4 linked regions of the Caenorhabditis elegans genome follow. The protein of the gene in region 2 interacts with the protein of the main gene of each other region in a pairwise test. Each region holds a gene or a part of one and is shown on either strand. Other genes may lie near its edges.

Evidence for each region.
Region 1: the proteins of sqst-2 (region 2) and ZK849.1 interact in a two-hybrid assay, tested with the Caenorhabditis elegans proteins (one large-scale study listed by BioGRID).
Region 3: the proteins of sqst-2 (region 2) and rpy-1 interact in a two-hybrid assay, tested with the Caenorhabditis elegans proteins (one large-scale study listed by BioGRID).
Region 4: the proteins of sqst-2 (region 2) and kin-4 interact in a two-hybrid assay, tested with the Caenorhabditis elegans proteins (one large-scale study listed by BioGRID).

The regions. Positions count from the first base shown.
Region 1 is NC_003279.8:14,182,041-14,187,663, forward strand, and holds ZK849.1 (PDZ domain-containing protein), read right to left. Parts: upstream 3,668-5,623; 5' UTR 3,556-3,667; coding exon 3,478-3,555; intron 2,985-3,477; coding exon 2,793-2,984; intron 2,691-2,792; coding exon 2,529-2,690; intron 2,079-2,528; coding exon 1,939-2,078; intron 1,887-1,938; coding exon 1,766-1,886; intron 1,720-1,765; coding exon 1,648-1,719; intron 1,031-1,647; coding exon 938-1,030; intron 885-937; coding exon 747-884; 3' UTR 555-746; downstream 1-554. Other genes in the region: gopc-1 (Golgi-associated PDZ and coiled-coil motif-containing protein), read right to left, coding at 3,821-3,896, 4,496-4,596, 4,645-4,809, 5,222-5,360, 5,419-5,552, 5,613-5,623.
Region 2 is NC_003282.8:7,327,250-7,330,659, forward strand, and holds sqst-2 (ZZ-type domain-containing protein), read right to left. Parts: upstream 1,727-3,410; 5' UTR 1,712-1,726; coding exon 1,643-1,711; intron 1,599-1,642; coding exon 1,448-1,598; intron 1,402-1,447; coding exon 1,297-1,401; intron 1,041-1,296; coding exon 637-1,040; 3' UTR 522-636; downstream 1-521. Other genes in the region: ocr-4 (Ion transport domain-containing protein), read right to left, coding at 2,430-2,603, 2,651-2,896, 2,971-3,250, 3,303-3,410.
Region 3 is NC_003280.10:6,701,685-6,707,453, forward strand, and holds rpy-1 (43 kDa receptor-associated protein of the synapse homolog), read right to left. Parts: upstream 3,960-5,769; 5' UTR 3,860-3,959; intron 3,814-3,859; 5' UTR 3,810-3,813; coding exon 3,720-3,809; intron 3,589-3,719; coding exon 3,512-3,588; intron 3,463-3,511; coding exon 3,197-3,462; intron 3,152-3,196; coding exon 3,004-3,151; intron 2,962-3,003; coding exon 2,799-2,961; intron 2,747-2,798; coding exon 2,630-2,746; intron 2,484-2,629; coding exon 2,418-2,483; intron 2,188-2,417; coding exon 2,059-2,187; intron 2,010-2,058; coding exon 1,810-2,009; intron 1,762-1,809; coding exon 1,631-1,761; intron 1,376-1,630; coding exon 1,020-1,375; intron 917-1,019; coding exon 812-916; 3' UTR 549-811; downstream 1-548.
Region 4 is NC_003282.8:11,423,931-11,428,773, forward strand, and holds the start of kin-4 (non-specific serine/threonine protein kinase), read left to right. Parts: upstream 1-1,811; coding exon 1,812-1,870; intron 1,871-2,203; exon of another isoform or gene 2,204-2,224; intron 2,225-4,843. Other genes in the region: F22B3.8 (Tyrosine-protein kinase), read right to left, coding at 10-203, 351-574, 622-767, 950-955.

The sequences.
Region 1 (5,623 bases), on a different chromosome or scaffold from region 2:
ATTTTCACGCATTTAGCTATTTTTTGAGCGCAAATTGTCTTAAACTTATTCGAAAAACAAGTTTTCTTTTTAAAAAATTTAAATTCTCGCGGACCGCATAATGCAAACGCGCCCCAATGAGAAAATAACTGGAAAATCGATTTTTCTTGTGATTTTCCAACAAAACCAACAATTTAAACTGTTATATTTATTTACCAGTTTTGCTAAAACCAAAAAAGTGCAATTTCGAACTAAAAATTCAAATTCCCGCGAAATTGCTGGAAAATCACGGTTCAGCGAAAATTTAAAAGGAATCGATAGAAGTTAATGTGAAAACAAGAGAAACAAGTTTTCCTATTGAAAATTCAAATTGGTATGTTGCAAATGCGCCCCAATGAGAAAATTGCTAAATTTTCAGGTTTTCACCACCAAATTTGTTGCAGAGTGTTCCCACAACAAAAAAGCAATGAAAAGCAGTGGAGGAAAAGCTCCCAGGAATCAATTCTCCCCGAAAACCTATAAAACTCAAATGAGCCACTTTAATTCCGTCTCATTTGATATCCCTGAGACGTAGACAGCCGCTGATTTTTATTTTTTAAAAAGGTTCAGAGGGGGGTAATCATGAGAAGAACGAAAAAAATTGGCGGCAAAACACAAAAAGAAATAAAAAAAAAATCGAAAAGAGACACACAAACAAGTCTATAAACTGTACGAGAGGGAGAGAATTAGAGAAAAATAAATTTTGCAACCAAAAAAAAAAAGACAATTCAGACATCCTCCCCCGAATCGGCTTTTCCCGAAATTGGTGTGCTAACAAATTTGTGACATTTCCCGTTTGGATGGGCCTCGTGGTACTTGGTCGGGTCGAATTGCGATACAATCAGCGAGATGAAATCCTTGGCGCTCTGGAAATTCAAATTTATATAAGGCTACAAGTGCGCTCTAATGCGAAACTCACCTCATTCTCGAGCATTTCCATAACCTCGGCGTGGGTGGTGGTGTTGGTCACGAAGGTCCCATCGATCGCCAAGATACGGTCGTTCACACGGAGCTGGAAATATGAAGTAGGGGTACTGTAGGGAGAGAGTACTGTAGGGAGAGGGATACTGTAGGGAGGGTGATGTAGGAATAGGGTACTGTTGAGAGAGGATACTGTAGGGAGTGGTACTGTAGGCAGGGGATACTACAGGGAGAGATACTGTAGAGAGCGGTACTGTAGGAAGGGGGTACTGTAGGGAGGGGGCACTGTAGAAATGGGGTACTGTAGGGAGAAAATACCGTAGTAAAGGAGTACTGCAGGGAAGGGCACATTAGGGAAGGGGTACTGTAGGAAGGGGTACTGCAATAAGGATGAACTGCTAAAAGAATACTATAGAGGACTGGTACAGTAGGGAGGCAGTACTGTAGGTAGGGGTACTGCTGGAAGGTTACCGTAGGAAGGGTACTGTAGGCAGGGGTACTGTAGTAAAGGAGTACTGGGGAAGGGGTACTGTAGGGAGGGGTACTGTAGAAGTGGGGTACTGCAGGCAGGGGGTACTGTAGTAAGGGTGTACTGTAGAAACGGGTACTGTAGAGAGAAATAACTGCAGTAAGGGGGTACTGTAGGGAGGGGTACTATAGGAAGGGAAAGGGTACTGTAGGAAAAGGGGTACTGTAGGAGTACTGTACCTGATCATCGTCCGCCATCGACCGCTTCAACTTCCCAGTGACCACGACCGGACGGAACTGATCACAACCTCCCTGAATAATTCCATTTCTTCAAATTTTTTGGCTTTTCGGCACCAACCGTAATCTCGAGCCCAAGCCCCTGATTGATATGCTCTCTCATGAGAATCACGAGCCGCGGAGAGCTCTGCCAATCGTCTCCGTTCTCAAATGCAGCATCACCAAGGTCCGACGAGTTGATCCTGGAAAATTTTTTGATGCTCCAACAAGTTCCCACAGAAATCCATCACCTACCGATTGATGAGCCAAAGCGTGTTGAGACGCAACAAGCGGTTCTCCTTCTCGATCTCGTCCCACAGTTTCGATTTGACGGCCGACTCGATCGTTGCCGCGTTGCGCACCAAATCCATCATCTGTCGCATTGCTGCCAGCTCCTGTAATGAGTCTCATGGGAAAGTGTGGGGAGGGGACATGATCATGTAAAAAATGATGATGCGTAGGGGCCAAAAATCTAGAAAAAAAGTGGGGGAAATGTCATGGTGCATCGACAAAATGTTTAGGCTGAAGCTTTGGCTTGGGTTTTGGCTTAGGCTTAGGCTTAGGCGTAGGCTTAGTATTAGGCTTAGGCTTAGGTTTAGGCTTATGCTAAAGCTTAGGCTGTGATCTAGGCTTACGCTTAGACCAAGGCTTAGGCTTAGGCTTACGCTTATGCCTAGGATTAAGCTCAGGCTTAAGCTTGGATTAAGGCTTAGGTTTGGGTGTAGGCTTTGGCTGAGGTTTAGGCTAGCAAAAAATGTGGCCAAAGTGGAAATCACCAATTTTTGGGTAACCAGAGCTACCTGAACCTCTACCCCACATGGTGCATCGACTAGGTAGAACCGTACCCTTGCGTAGAACCTGGTTGCCATGAGATGCATGACACTCTTCTTGGACACCTCATTGATATGCTTCGCCATCCGCTCGTTACGCCGCTTCTCCACGTTGAGCTTAGCCTCCACAAGACGGTGCTCCTGGATCCTTTCCATATTGTCACCGACTTCTTGTTTCTGAAATATTAAGCGTTGAAGTAGGCAGGTAGGCACGAAAGTGCCTGCCTGCCTAGTACTTGTAGGCACCTAGGTAGGTATAGGCAGGCAACATTCCCTCACCATATCATTGAAAATCTGCCTGGAAGTCGCGTCTCCCTGATGATTCGCGGCCAGCAACAAGTGGAACTGCTGGATGACGTCATCATGGGCTTCAGCTATGGCACGAAGCTCCACGAGCTCCTGGAGACACTCCTCACGCTCCTTGATTGCCAATTTCTTAGCGGATTCTTCACTGGCGGACAAAGTGCAAACCTGGAAAAATAGTTTGTGATAAATTAATAAATTATCGATTTTTCTCGTCATTGCCAAGTTTTCAATAACCGAGAAAAAGGAGTTTTGAAGTAACTATTGGAAACTTTTCAAATTCCCGCCACAGTTTTGTACCGGGATACCGAAAAGTCGATACATTATCGATTTTTTCTAAAATTTTTAAACTACCGCCCGACCGGGATTTTAAAGAAACTTTATACTAAACAAAATTCAAACCGTTTTTCGATATTTCGAGCCGGATAGCTAACAATTTTCACAAAAATCGATGATTTCTTACTGATTTTCAAAGCGAAATTTTTAAATTCCCGCCTGACCACGCCTACTTTTAGTCAGCGGAATATCGGAGTGTCGTTGGAGTGCGACGAAAAATCAATAATTTTTTGAATGACATTTGCCGGAAAACTGACATTTTTCCAAAAAATCAATATTTCTCCCAGAATTTTCAAATTCCCGCCCGACCGGAAGATCATATTACCTGCGTAAAAACATTCGAAATTGCCTTCAAATGGGTAATCCAGTCGTCCTTCTCATCGGAAGCCAGCGCCTTGGACATTGCCGTATTGAAGACAGCAGTAAGACGATTGATTTGTTGACACGTCATTTATTGATTTTTTTGCGGAAGAAAAATCGATAAACTCAAACAATAAAAGATTTTTATGCAAAAAGTTGGAAAAAGCCAAAAAAAAATCCAATGAGTTGGAGGAAATGACGTGGCAATTAGGGGGAGGAGGAAAGTCACGGGAAAATATACAAAAAAAAGTTTTTTTTTTGAAAAAAAAATTAAATAAAACCCGTCAAAAAATTCCACATTTTGGAGGTCACGTGCTGCGTGATTCATCAGAATTGTTGGACGATCGGCTTGACGTGGGCTCTTCCATACTGTAGAGGTTGTAGCTAAAACAAAAATTTAAAAATTTGACTGGGAATTCGAATTTTCTGTTGAAATTTGGCCGAAAATTTGAATTTCCCGTCGAAAAATTAACTAAAAGGTTGAATTTCCTATAGAAAAACGACAAAAAATTGGAATTCCCCGCCGAAAAATTCATTAAAAAGTTGAATTTCCCCCAAAAAATAGGCTGAAAAATTGAATTTCTTGCCGAAAATAGACAGAAAATTTAGAATTTTTTGTCGCAAATTGACTAAAAATTTGAATTTCCTATAGTAAAACGACAAAAAATTTGAATTTTCTATTGAAAAATGACCAAAATTTTGATTTTCCAGTTGAAAAATTAACTAAAAAATTAAATTTCCAGTTAAATGTTAACTGAGAATTTGAATTTCCTCCCTAAAACTGACTTATAACTTGAATTTCTAGCTCAAAATCAATTGGAAATTTAAAAATCCCGCCTAAAATTAACTGGCAATATGAAAATCCCGCCAAAAATTAACAGAAAATCAAAATTTCCAGCTGAAAATCGATTGAATATTTAAATTTCCCGCTAAAAACTAACTGGAAATTCAAATTTCCCGCCGAAAAATTCCCAATAACTCACATAGATCCATCGCTGTGCTCGATCGTCACCGTCCCATCATCATCACTATCCTCATCGGGGCACACAAAGACGAGCTCCAGGTCTAGGTCGCCTTGCTGTACCTGGAATTTGGAGGGGATGTAGGTGGAGGGCCCCTGGCAGCATCTTACCTGCCCACTCAAAATATCCACTGCCTCCTGATGCTTGACAGTCCGAAGATCGTAGCCGTTTACTGAGAGAATCGCGTCGCCCACAAAGACCTGTCCACATCGGTCAGCAGGCTGTCCCGGCTGGATTTCAGATATCACTATGGGTAGAGCGTGTTCGGATCCTCCCTGGAAATGGATTTTAGGATCCAGTAGGATTTTTTAAGATCTTGAAGAACTAGGATCCATCCGGAGCTCCGCAAACTATCTGGAGTAGTTTTGAGCTATGCAGCAGAACTACAAAAGCAGGGGTTGTCAGAGTGTCTCATTTTAGATTGATCTACATTGATCTACAAAAAATGCGGGAAAAGAGACGCAGACTTTTCAACTGACTGGGAGAAAAATTCCCGCATTTTTTGTAGATCAAACCGCAATGGGACAGCCTGACACCACGTGCAAAAGTACCTCATAATCAGATGGCACATTTGGTCTTACGGGAACTGGATCAACTCTCAGATCTTACAGGATCCCGTGGATCCCCAAAGGAACAAGTCTAGTCAATGATCTACTGGCCCAAAACCATCCAAGTCCCCCCACCTACCGTAATAGAAATGCCGAGCCCTTCGTGCGGGTGTTTCGAGAGCACCACTTTCCTGCTCTTTCCCACTCCATTTCGTTTTCGGAGGCTCTTGAAGTTGTGACGAAGTGGCGCCGTTAATCCCTTCGTGTTACCCCGTCCTCTGCAAGAATGGCAAATTGTTCAAGTGGGGAGCGGCCATGGGAAACGTGACCGCCTACCTGCAAGCCCGGATCACTGTCTTGTGCCTGTGGAGGTGAATTTCGGCTTCCAGCTGGTTCCAGAGCCTGTCGTGCTCCACGCCGCGCATGTTTCGTCCCAGGAGCTGGATTTGTTGTATCCGGCCTGCGAGTTCCTGGAAGATTAGGGTATGTAAAGCCTTGAAGCCTTAAAGCCTTAAAGCCCGATGGCCTACCTTATCCAGGT
Region 2 (3,410 bases):
GTTTTTGAAAAAGTGAAAAATCATGAACGCGTCATTGGTGATTGCGGAAGAATAAATAAGGAATGGGTAGGTACAATAGACTGCTTTGGCTGAGTTGTAGAAACCTCCCACGCATGCAAAAATGCCTACTTGCATGCTTTCAATGCACAGTAAGCGTTGGTCACTTTCTAGGTGTCAGGCAGGTAGGCATTTTCTAATTACATGGAAAAGTGTTCTATGGAGCCAATTAAAATAGAAATTTTGAAACATTGTGTTAATTTTAAGACAATTAAAAATTGGAAACATGGCCTACAAAATGTTTTTGAAATTCTCAATAAAGGTGGTCCGCGGTGTTATTAATTCTAGTCCTACAAGTCAATAGGAATGAAAATTCAATTGGAACAGATTTCTGAAAAGCACAAGAAAAATTTAATTTTAAAATTCAAAATAAGAGGGAATTTTTTTTTTTGTTTTTTTTTTTGCGAGATAGATTTCAGGAAATTAAAATTGAATGGAGGATGCGTCTTGGTTTTTTGCACTTCTGCAATTACATAACTTTTTTGGTCTTTTTAAGTATAACAAGATAGGACAGAAATCCGACAGAAAAACTAAGTTCACAACATAAATAGGAAAAACAACAAAACTATAAAATACAATTTAAAACCAATGATAATGTTCTCTTTTGATATCATAACGATGTTCTGGGAAAATGTAACTTGGGGCGTTAACTGTGACATAATCAGGAATACTTGTAACCCTTGGAGTCACAATTCGTAGAAGAGCATGCTCGTAGTGAACCAAATCTTTTTCACAGTCTCCACAAATATCATAGTCTGGACATTGAAGACAGTGATAACGGCTTCCAACAATTATACGGAAACAGTTTCGGCATGGAGTGTCATGATGGACGAAGTTTCTTATTGAATCATGATGATGATGATGGTGATGACGTTTGTTATCGTTGAATCGAACAGATTGATGGATTGAATGTTGAGATGGAGTTCGAATTATTGGAACGTTAACTTCGTGATAATTACGGCTTATGCTTCTGGGACGGTAATCTGAAAAATTAAATTTTTAAAAATTTTGTTACTATTAGTTTTGAGTTACATAAGAACACACCTTTGCAAAACAACTTGAAATTTCTCAAAATTTGAAAATAAAAAATACTTTGAAAGATCATTGTTCCTTTTTTTAAAAAAACTTAATTTGAATAATTGAATTTTCAAATTGTAAGATTATCTAACAAAGAACTAACAAGGTTGTTATAATAGGACTATGGAACTGTTTTTTAAAAAGTTTTCCGTAAAATCTTACCTTCCAGTCTTATATGTAGATGTGGAAGAATATGATCAGGATTTTGAACACATTCCATAACTTGCACTGAATCATTCAACTCGTTTTGAGCACCAATTGTACTATCTATTAAAAAATTATTACAAATATTTTTTCATTTCAAAAAACTCACCCGAAAATAGACGATAAACACCATTTGATGGATACAATTCGTGTGCAGCTTCAATTAATTTTTCCATTGCGTTGAACTTATTCAAATACAAAATCTTTGATCTGTGATAGTTATTATGGTAGAATGAGACATGAATATCCCTTGGAATCGTCTGAAAACAGTTTTATTACTGAAATCGAATATTCTTGAAGTTACCGAATATGATGGAGTTCTTTCATATCTTCGTTCTATGATTGGTGGTCTCCTGTATCGAATACTACTCATTTTTGTTGACCCAAACTAAATCAAAACTAAAAAGTTAATCTATAGAAGTAATGAGCAATTTTAGAAAAAAAGTTAGGAAGAGTCGAGAAGTGAAAATGTTGATTTCAGCGCCAGTGAAACTCTTGTCAAATGCTGAATGATGCAGTTTTTGATAAGATAACATTCCACTCGTTAGTCATTTTTGGAGAGCAAAGCAAAGAAAAGAAGAAGGCACATCAGAGAATGTTGCATTTTTTGAAATATCTGAATTGACTTGGTATAACACTAGAAATAACACTAAAAACGATGGGCATTCTCTTGGGTGAGTTCTTAATCCTTTTTTAATAAATAAATTTTCAAATTGAACTGACAAAATTTGCCGAAATAAACTAACAGTATGCCGCTTGTGGACTGGCTGAGCAGTTCGTTTTGAAAGTTTTCATATCGTTATACTTGATTATGGTTACTGCAACAGTACCAAAAAATAGTAAAAAACACTTTTAAAATGTTCTAAATTAAACAGTCTTAAATAAAAATATTTGAATGCAACATATTAAATCCGGAAACTATTTGAGACATCCATTTCATTTAAAGTTTTCCACTGCCAAATTTAAAGGTTTCTAAAAAAGCAAGATTGAGGAATCAAAGAAGAAACATCAACTTTCCACATTTTTCACTAACAAGATCCAACATTTATTAGACAAATTATTTTAGGAAGAGAATGAAACAGTAAAAAAAATTAGCCGGTAGGAATAATCAACTTATTATTAGTATGTCGATGCTTCGATTTGAAATAATTTGCTCCTTGCTTGCATATAAATACTGGCCGTCTTCTCTGGTTTGTGCGAAGTTCCTCACGGAATTTACGACGCTCTTCGTGCATTTTCTTCCGCTGGCACTCGAATTCTTCCTCCTTAAATTTATCATCAAACTATTGGCAAATGTGTAAGAGGAACTCACTGTCATTTTATCTTTTAACAATAAAACTAGTTTTTCACCTCCATCAAAACGTATTCCATATCTTCTTTGATACCGTAACCTGGTTGCTGGATCAAAACTTTGTTCCATCATTAGAATAATTGCAGACCATTGTCGAAGCCACTCTAATGAATTTCCAGAGACTTCTGTATAAGTATTAGTCATCATAGCAATAAGCATGTTAATGAGCAAAAGTGTTACGAGAAGCATATAGACTACGAATGTTATCTGAAAATCAAAAATTCTATATTTTTCGATGATCTTTCTAGTCTAGAATTGTTTTAAAAAAAGTGTAAGCCTACCTTTCCAATAACGGTATGCTCACATTCTTCCAATTGCTCAAAAAATACAGTAAACTCTGTGAGTGACATGATAAACATCCGTACGTAGCTTTCCGCAACGTTACTCATAATGCTTGGTTCACGATTTCCAGAATCACTTCTCTTATAACCGAGGAATATGACATAAAATGCTTGAGAGAAGCCAACTACAATGACCAAATAGATCAAGAAGAATCTCATTAAATCACGAATTATAATTTTATAGAGCATCAAGACGAATGGTCCAACTGACTTAAATCCTCTGGAAAAGTAGTTTATTTCCTATTGTGGATCTAATCATAAAGCGTACTTACCTACAAAAGAACAGAAATTTCAATGAAGTTAATAAAACAATCACTATCCAAACAATATCCTCGGCTTCATCCAAACAAAATATTCTCAGAAAAAATGTGATGACCATT
Region 3 (5,769 bases), on a different chromosome or scaffold from region 2:
AGAGACGGAAGTTGAGAGACTGTCGGACAAAGTTTAAAATTTTAAGAGGTAAAATGATGACATTATTCTGAAAGGCGTCTGTAGTGTTTAAAGAAATTATGATGACTACAATAATCATAATCACTTAAAAAACTATAAGATTTTTTGGAAACTTATCACTTTACAGTTCTTTGAAATATAGATAACATTTTGATTTAGATCATACAAAGATTGCTGCCCAACTTTTAATTATTACAGTTTACAGAGGTCATCTTTAAAATTTTTATGCTAGTTAAGTTTTGAATTCAAATATTGGAAGATGGAGTTAAAAAATACAGCGGTTATCTATGTTTAAGTTCTCCTAAGCCCGTACACAGTTTTCAATTCAAAATTGCTTTCACCGTTTAAAAATTCCCCCGATTTTGAATTTTTTTCTGTTAAATGTTGAAGTTTTAGAGAATAAAATCATGTGGGTTCATCTATTTTCAGAATTTTTCTCAATGAGATGGACAACTATCACACAAAGTTTCAGCTTGTGGGTGTTATCATGCACAAGATTTCATCATATTCAAAAATTGAAACAAATTTTTATGGAAAGAATTAAAACTTTGAAACATATGAATTGAGATCAAAAATAAAAATAAGAATAACTTCTAAAAGATTAATTGAAAAAAAAGATTGAAAAGTGAACATGAGCAGGAAAGAAACTGGTGGGTGACAATGTAGAAGACTAGAAATTCAAAATTTTGAAGATTCCTATTTAAAAAAAAACGATAAATGATATCACAAAACAAGGGATTTCGAGGGGATGATTGCAGTTTGTATTGAGGCTTCAAACATCTGTTACTGTAGGCGTGTGAGTTATCACAAGAGGACCATCTTCTGCTAGTGGCATTGCTGGAGGAAGAGCTACTATTGATGATGGAGGTAGGGCTGCCTGAAAACATTCAAATTTAGGTGATTTCTCAAAATACAATTTAAGGTCATATGAAAAAATTTAAAGTTCAGAAAGATCATTTAAACTCCTTCAATAATATTACCTGTGAGCAACAAGGTTTCCGTGGAGGTGGTGGTGGTTTATGATTTGCATTCGAATGCGTGTGTGACTGCGATGTCGTCGATGCAGTAAGAATCGGTTCGGAAGCACAAGAAGCCGTTGTTGAAGGTACTTCAGGTGACGGAACTGCAACTGCTGAACATGCATTCGCCGCTGCAGATTGTTGTGATTTTAGCCTAGCAAGACTTCGATCAACTCGATCAATATCTTTCTCGGCGCCACGAAGAATCTTGTCCTGTTGTGAACGTCGTGTTAATGTGGCTTGTGGTGTGATATCTCCAAGTTCGGCAGCTGCTGAGACAAGTGGAGTGGCAACACCTCCCGGTGGGGCGAAAGACGCTGAAATTAAAGTTTATTGATTACGCGCTGACATTCAAAAAATATTTTTTCAATAATGATAAAAAATAAACCTTTAAAAATACTATTAGAATAGTTTTCAGAAGAAAAAGTTCGCTTTGAACTAAAACTTGGACAACTTCTTTACCATGTTTTTTGCTGAATACTCTACAAAAGTTGACTTCAAATTTCGGCTTCATAGTTTAATATTTTTTCGAATAAATTTTCAAGTATAAATGTTTATAATAAAAATCTTACTGCTAGGACTCTGAACATCAATTGTTGAAGCAATAGAACTTCGTATCGAGATATTGTCCGATAAAACAGCTCTGCATCTACATTTCGGGCAGGTTTGATCTGTTCTTTGTAGGAGATACGTGTGTAAGCATCTGAAACATTACAACTTTATTTTTAGAATCTCTGAAACTCATTCATACTTTTCATGGAAAATATGCGAACACCTAAGAGCTTGAAGACTCTCATCCTTCAATCCATATCTTTGACCGCAGAAGTTACAAAACAATTGCATTTCTTGTGTTAACCGAGACGCAGCTCTTCGAGCAGTTTCCTCAGAATCGTCATCATTCAGTTGAGAATATAGTTCGGCTAGTCGGAGATGGCACTTTAAGACAACGTGCTGAAACAAAATTTTGAAGTTTTGTGGAATCATCCTATCGATTTTGTACCTTGCACCCTATCTGATTTGCAATTTCAATACACTTTTTATTCAATTGAATAGCTTGACATTCACATTGTCCAGTGTAATGAGATCGACTTTCAGATGCACTTTTTGCCATTGACGAGAGCACTAATACCTGAAAAACACTCAGAACTTATTAAAATTATTTTCTCACAATTCCCCAGAAATATACTCATGTTGTCTGATCTCTATGTGAGATTGTGTCAACCACAAAGCTTCAAGATTTATGGGAAAGTCGTAAAAGTTATTTAATGGGAAAAGAAATTGAGACCTGGATGTGAGCTTTTGGTTTTATGAGGTATTTGGTTGTACCAATAAATAATTGAAGGTTTTTTGGCCACTTACTTCGCCCATTTTATCATTTGCTCCGCGCATTACACGATAAGCATCTTCGTATCTTGCCCAGGATTTCTGTAAGAAAGAGTTTATTATCTAACAATAGAAAAAAAAAACTCATTGATTTCTAATACAAGTTTTAATGAAAGTTAGTTGTTATTATTAACTTTTCAAGCATAACGTTTTTTTACTGAAATAACTGAGAATTTAAAATTACTCACAGTGATAGTCTCTTTGGCTTCACTCTCTCCCAATTCTCTATAAATATCTGCTAAACTGCACATACATCTTGCATGGATCGCTCGATTACCCATCTCAACAGCTAGCTGGGAAGCTTCCTGGAATCATTCAATACTTTTTGAAGTTCTTAAACTTTAAATAAAAACTTACATCGCATGCTTCCTTGGCATCAACCAGACTTCCTTTCATCCTTAGAGCAACTGATAAATGATAAAGTATCAAACAACGATACTTTGCATGAACATCATCAACAGTAACAGATTGAACAATTGCGAGAGCATTTCGAAGAAATATCAGAGCTTTAGTGATATCTCTGAAAATAAAAATGTGTTATTTTTCATTTCTGTACGGTTACCTCAAAAGAGTAAAAAGAGATCCTAGACCAACACAAATTTGCAATTCGAGTAACCTATCCGATGTCTCATTGGCAACATTCATTGCTGACTCGAAACTTTCCAGACACTGTTGGAACTGGGACATTCCTAAGTGTGCAAGTGCTATTGCTGAAATAGCCACAGTTTTGTCTAGAACCTATTGAAAATTCTTACTTAAATGTGCATAACCAGGCGTCCTGGGATCCATCGAAGGATGTTCTAACGATGCTTTGCCATACTGGAGGGCTTTCGTGAAATCTGCTAATCGTTCATAGGCTTTTGCTAGATTCAAAAATGCCTCGCATTTCATTGCTGAATCGTTTTGATCGGTTGCCAACTGCATTTGTGATAGAGCATATGAAAGCATTCCTTCGTATTCTCCCTGGTCGCAAAGAGCTTGAGCAAGGTATCCGAGAGTGATAAACCGGTCTTCTGCATTGCTGAAAATGGACGTTATAGAAAAGAAGAGGAGTCGTCTGAAAGACTTACTTTAACCTGTTCAGAGACTGTCTCCATTTATTGATAGCCTGTGCGTAATGTCGTTGATGATAAAGTTTGACGCCAGCCTGCAGAAATAAATGTTTAAAATTGGGGAATGCCAAACAGGAATGATAAAACATTTTAAAAAACATCACAGAAGTTCGCATAAATTTTAGTTTCCGAAAAAAAAATTCCCCATATCAAAACTATTACCAACCTGCATGTGTTGCTTTGCTTGCCGCTGTCCCATTGATCGTCGATGATTCGTGATGAGATTGATGTTGTCGCGACACACAAAAACACCCATTGACCTGAATAATATTCAATAATTCAAACTTCATGCTCAATATATCTTACCTACAGACCGGCGGCAAGTAATCATGTAGTTTTTAGTGATGGCTCTTCTTTTTTCTACGTGTGTGTGAAATACGAATAAAAATTATCAATCCTATCTCATCTGAAAATTAGGAAAATTTTTATTGAAGTTTTTATTTTATAAATCTTTCGATGCAGAAAGAGAAAAATGTGCATGGTGAAAAATAAAAGAAAGAAAAGAAGAGGACAATTGATGAATAATTGTTTTAGAATCCATTTCTGAGTCTGCATGCAATAATGATGGAGTACCAGAGGATCAATTATGAAGGGATTACTGTAGATTTTATATGCTTTAGCTATTTCAGGCTCTTGCACAAAAAGTTCCACCCCACAAAAAACAATTAGCTCAAGCACATTTTGTTTGTGTTGACATTTTCATGAGACGAGAATTCTTGGATGACTTTTGATTGATATTCGAGATGAAGATGAGATAGTATGAATAGACATGGAGATTTAGAGATATAGGTGAGAAAGTGATCCATCAATTTGAGGTCATGAGACGATTGAGGAAAAATTGGTGGGGAGCAAATGAACGAAAAATGATGGGATTGGAAACGGAAAATGAGGCGAAAAAAGAGAGGGAAATTTGTGGAAGATAATGGGAAACAGATAAGAAATGAAAATGCCAATTGGATAGAATAAAAATCAATTTGAGAGAAAAACATCAGAGCAAGCGCAAAAGTGCAAACTGCACAAAATAAACTATCTGCCTACACGCATGTTTACTGGCATGACATAGAAGAAACTTTCAACAAAAAGTTAAAATGGGAGAAATGTATATCATATACAAGAGTTCCCAGCGACACTGAAAAATTGCTGTAGGCAAGAAAAATGGCAGGTAGGAAATATGGGAATAGTCCTAGAATGAACTATATTTATTAGAAAACTAACTAAACATATACTTCAACTAGAAGTCAAGTTTTGGAGTTCGAAAAAAACCTGTGTTTGTGCAATATACTTTTAGAACGAAAGGAAGTCCGAACTCAAGATAAATTCAAACTTTTAAACTTTTTTCACCGTTTACAACTCCGCCCAAAATGTTTTTTCGGTACTAGTCCCTATTTGAAATCACTCTGTCAAATTGAAATTTTCGGGAAAAAAGAAGAGTAGTACTCTCTAATGTGACCCGCCGGCTCAGGCGAGCTTCTCAGGGGAACTGAATCCAATTTGGAATGAAAAGAAATTTGGGACAAAAGAAGTGAATACGGGGAAAAAGAAAGTAGATCTAGAAGAAGAGGAGGTCTAGTACTTTGATGCACATCTTAAGGAATCCGTATTCCAAATGTTTTTTTTCTTGAGTTGCCCCAAGCTCTCCGAGTTTGGAAAAGGATGGGAAACGGAAAATCGAACTCCCATGGGAAATTGAACAGAAATTGACATTTTTGTGAAGAGATGGGTAAAGAGTTGGGACACATTGAATTGTGTGGAAGAAAACGATGAGAAGAACCGATTAGATTAGAAATATTTTTAAGGATGAAGATGAAAAAGGATTATTTAGAAAAAATAAATCAGGAAAATTTCAGTTTCGACAATAAAATGTTAAGGGAATAAAGTTCCACCTCTGGATGCCCCACTTGAAGTATTTTAAATAAACAATATTTTTAGAAATCCAAATATATTTTCAAAATAAGTCTTGATGTTTTCAGCACTACATTTTCATATCGACGTAATTTTAAAAATGAAAAAAAAAATTTCGATCAACAAGAACAGTGAGCCATGGTTTATTGTAAGTTGGAAAAAAATATGTTTCACTAACATGATTAATTTACAAAAAAATAACTCTACATTTGAACTTCAATTATAAATTGAATGTCGTGAAATAGAAAAAAAACTATTTGAAATTGAGAGTTATTAATAATTTTCTAAAAAAAAACACAATTTTGAAATAGCTT
Region 4 (4,843 bases), 4.1 Mb from region 2:
CAAACATACATTGTGATAGCAAATCGGGTTGACCTTATAGTAGTTGATAAGCTCATCAATAGTCGGAAACTTGAATCGCCGCTCAATATAAAACGAGGTCCATTTGCCGGCGGTTTCTTCAATAAACAAATGCATATCCATGTTCTCTTTCTTCACATCCTCCAGATCCCCATAGAAACTTCGTGTGGTGCCGGTTTTTTGTGCTGAATAGGGAACATAATTGTAAAATCTAGAGTTTTTCAACGAACAGTGAGGGCAAGTTCCCCGCAACAGCTTGACAACTTATGAGAAGTTCATTGAATAAGTTTCCAAGCTGCTAGGAAGTTAAAAAAACAAAAAATAAAACAAACTGATATTGACGGACAGAACAAGAATGACACGAGTCAGTGGAATCGGATCAGTGGCACTTTTGTCCGGAGTCGTCGGCTTCTTCGCATTCTTCTCTGGTTGATGCGACAATCTCAGGAGAAAGTCTCCGTTCGTCTTCAACAAGATCAGTTGTAGCTCTTGGAGCACAAAACCATGGAAAAATTGGTATCTCAATAAATAATTGTCAATCATTTCATTAGTTACTCTGGAAATTAAAAAGTGTTTTGGGATATTTGGGATAAAGTTGCTCACCTTCCAACGCTTTTAGTTTTTTCTACATTTTGATACATTGAGTCGTCCGGAAAATTGATCATAACTGAGTTTGAAATACTGCTGCCATCTGTTGTCCTTTCAGTCTTTTCGGTCGTTTCACTCTTACATTCTTTTTTCTCAGATTTCTGAAAATTGAAAATTACATTTTACTATACCAGGAATACCGAATTTGTCTTTTTTTTAAATAATCATACTACAGGCGACCCATTGCAGGAAACTTATTCTAGAATTTCTGATGTCTTATTTTATTTTCAGGTAGACGCGTAGCCAGGTACAGGCAGGCTCGAACTCCCGCACTCCAACTCACCTTCATTGCAAAAATTTTACGACGATTTTGAGTAAAATTATATTGGGAAATAAATAAGTTTGCCTCGTCGTATTTGTTTTTTTTTTCAATTTTTTTCACGGGAGTTTATGTATTTAAACATACAGACAGTGATACAACTCAAATTCAGAAAACTTCCAGGAATCAAACTTCATCTGAAGGATTAACGGTTAAACCAAATTTTCCTGACAACAAAGTGCAAAGTCACTGCTCGACAGTTAGGAACAACTTCCTACTCCTGCCATAATTTAGCATCTTCCTATCAAACCTTTCATCAGCGGCAAGCAGGCAGGCGAGCACGTCTGAAAAATTCATGTCTACTATCGAACCCCTTAGAAAATATATTCATTTTTTGCAATTCACAGGATGTCAAAATATTGAAAATTGTTGCTTATAGAGTGGAAAAAAGGAGATTATTATAATAGCTGGTCTCAAATGTCAACGGCAGAAGTATTTAACTAGATTAATATTTTCAAGTTTCATGTTTTCGGATATGTCACCATTCACCATACACTTTACCATTATCTAAATCTAGAAATGTTACAGTAATCCATGAGCACACAAAATCAGAAAACGAAGAGCAACCTTGTGATGAGCTGGAAAAAGGGGATTAGTAGAGGTGAATGTTGAGAACAGGAAAGAAAGAGAGAGTGAGAGGATCAGAAATACTTTCAATTTATTTATAATTTTATTCACATCACAAATCTCTCTCCACTCAACTGCCCATAGTGATTGATAAGCTCCGGCGTTTCGCCTACTCAACGTTTCCCTCCAAAAACTCCAATCTAACTTTTTATTTTTGTTTCTAGCCAATCTTTTTTTTTTTCTATAGTTTCAGAATCAAATGCTCAATTTTGGAGTCGTTATGTATCAAAAGAAGAGCCCAAGTAATGCAACAGAAAAGTGAGTTCTGAGTGTATCTTACCAAACCGAAAAAAGTAAAAATGCAACCTATAAAACAAGATATTATCTCTCTCATTGCAATAGAAATCTCCCCCTAAAAAAAATCTCTTTGCACATGTCTCTGTCAGTTCTTTTTATGTTTTGCGTGCATAGAATTGCCGATTGTCGGATGATTTTCTTCTTCGTTCGATGAAAGCGGAAATAATAGAGAACAGCGTTTTATTGTGGTTTTTTGTTTTTTCGTGTCAAAGTTTCTGTAAAAGTCATGATGGTAGAATTTGTTCTAACTGTTTTATTCTTTTATTTTTAACTTTCAATTTAATTATAAATCAATTGCATATTATTGTCCATGTAATTAAGCTTTTAAGTTATCAAGAATAAGTTGAAAATTTTATTTGCAAATATTTTTTATGTCGAATTTCGATGCAGATAATGTTTTTTTTTTCCAAAACCGCTAAAATTATTTCAATATTCTTTATTTTTTTTCTATAGTTAAAGAAAAATTTTTTTAGAAAATTAACAAAAAAACTAAAAAATTACCAAAAGTTGTTCATTTTGATGAGAAAAAACATGAAATGTTTTCTCTGAAAAAAAAGGAAAATGGTCAAAATGTTAATATATTTTTGCAAAAATCGAATTGTTTTCGAAATATCTGAAAAACTAAAATTTTTCGGAAACGGTTTTTCTATAATACGCTTTGTATGCCAGGATACATTAAATAGAGAAAAATTGAGACAAAGTCCAATTACTGAAAGTGTAACATTTTTCTTTAAATTATGATCTAGGATAGTTTGTTAATGAAGCGATATTGCTTCTTGTATGCATACCTATGTATGTATGTCATTTCCGAAGTATTATAATATGTATCCTAATCAAGAACATGGATCATAAACATCTTTATTTTTATTATTTTATCTTTATTTTTCAACTCGATGTAAATTAAAAATCTTCACTAGTAGCCAGTAGCTCGACTTTGCAAATGCGTTCGTTTTAGATTTCGTCTTGTTTCCGATTGGCCCGGTTATTACGTAAGCACCTAAATTTTAATGTTATTGCATCTCATCACTACTTAAAAATGAGTCAAGTTTTTGAAATAGAAATACGAGCTTCATTGTGAAGATCACGATATTCTTTTTATTCGAATAAATCTGGTTGCATAGCTGTAGTACGTCAACGGACGAACCTGGATGAAATAGTGAATAAATATATTTTCTATAAAAAGGAGAAAATAAAAGAAATGTTATAGTTGACAGTTAATCCTTTGCATGGTGAATCTGTTGGCGGATGCCAGTTAATCTCCCTGTTTATCCGTATGCTCATATTTTTAAGTCGTCTTCAGTCGTTGTCGTTCTAAAAAATTTGGCCATCGATTGGCTCAGCTTCGTCTTTTTTGCCTCCTTTCACTTCTTCTTTTCTTGTCCGATTTCAGAAAAATTAAGATAATAAATTGCTTCAAATTTTGAAGTGCAATACACTTTCGCAGTCTAAATGCCTCTTGTTTTCTAAAAGTTATGCCAATTATTTATTCTTTAAAAATATTGGACTTACTGCCATGGAAGTCATATAGTTTCGCTACAAAAGTAGTACCTGTTCTGTGGTTTGGGTATTTTTCGAATTAAAATTTTTCCAAACTCAACTTTTTTGTGCAATTCTAAATGTATTTTTATGAGTATTCTTTTTTCTCCCTCTCCTATGTACATCCGCCAGCAGATGCTTGTTGAATTCTTATCGAAAGCTCTTTATCAGAACTTATTTTGAAAAAAATGTCAAGCATTCTCCGAGCATAGGTTTAAAATATTTCTGAAACACAGGTACATTTAACCAATCTCTCAGTTGAAAAGGTTACAATTTTCAGTATCAAATAAAAAAGTATAACACAATAATCTTTTGCACTTGACTCGCGTCATTTATCTGATCAACATGGCTTCATGCTCGGAGAATGTTCTTCTTTCTGCCAAAATGACTCACTGGAAATACTTTGAACATTATCAATGAAATTCAAAATAAAAATCAAAGAATAAGACTTTAAACTTTGAAAATTAGGACTTAAAAATTGTTGTAGAAATGCACCTAGCTCTTCAAATTTTGTTTGCCACTTTTTTACTGAAAATTGATGGCAACATACTTGAATTCTTTGATTTTTTCTCTACTAAAGGAAAACAAAAATCTTTGAAACTTTAAAATCAATGGTTTGTGTTAACTGAATTTGGTTCACCGATAGAACGATTGTTGTAAATCAAGGAGGTTAAAAAATTGAAATATCGATTAGTCATTGATTTTGAAAATTCAAAGCTTCCAGACAGAATGCCTCTTTGAAATACCCTTTGAACTATCAAGCTTCCTCCTCTTCCTCCTCTAAAAATAACGTGAATAAATTGTTCGAAGAGTATGGAATCATCTCATTTCCGATTCATATTCGTTTCCGCTATCAAACAATTTAACAATTTAATATGATATTCAGAGATGAATAAAATGCATTTTCTGCTCGAATGCCTTTTTTAGCTCGAATAAGTTTCTTCTTGCGTATCAGTTGGCAGGTGCAATGCTCAATTTTAATTTTAAGAAAAGTTTACATCAGCAAGCCCTACTTTCTCATTCTCTCCTTTTTAATTTTGTTTCTTTTGTTGTCTTGAAAGAAATTCAAACCCTTAAAGTATAAAATTGAATCAATTGGGTGTTCTTCTAATTGTCTCGTTCATTCAAATATCACTATGCATTAGGGAATGTCATATCAAATTGAATGATGAAAGTAGATTAGAAAGAGAAAAGAGAACATCCATTTAAGTATTCAAGTTAGCTTTTTGATTTTTCTAGATTTTTATGAACTAAAAATTGAGAATATTTACACTTGGCTGAGAACCACGGCGCGAGGAGATCGTTGAAGAGGCTGAAAGAAGCGACATCGCCCAAATATGAGGAGGAATGGCGTCTTCCGTTGAATTTTAGGAATTAGAATTTTTATGAGTATCATCA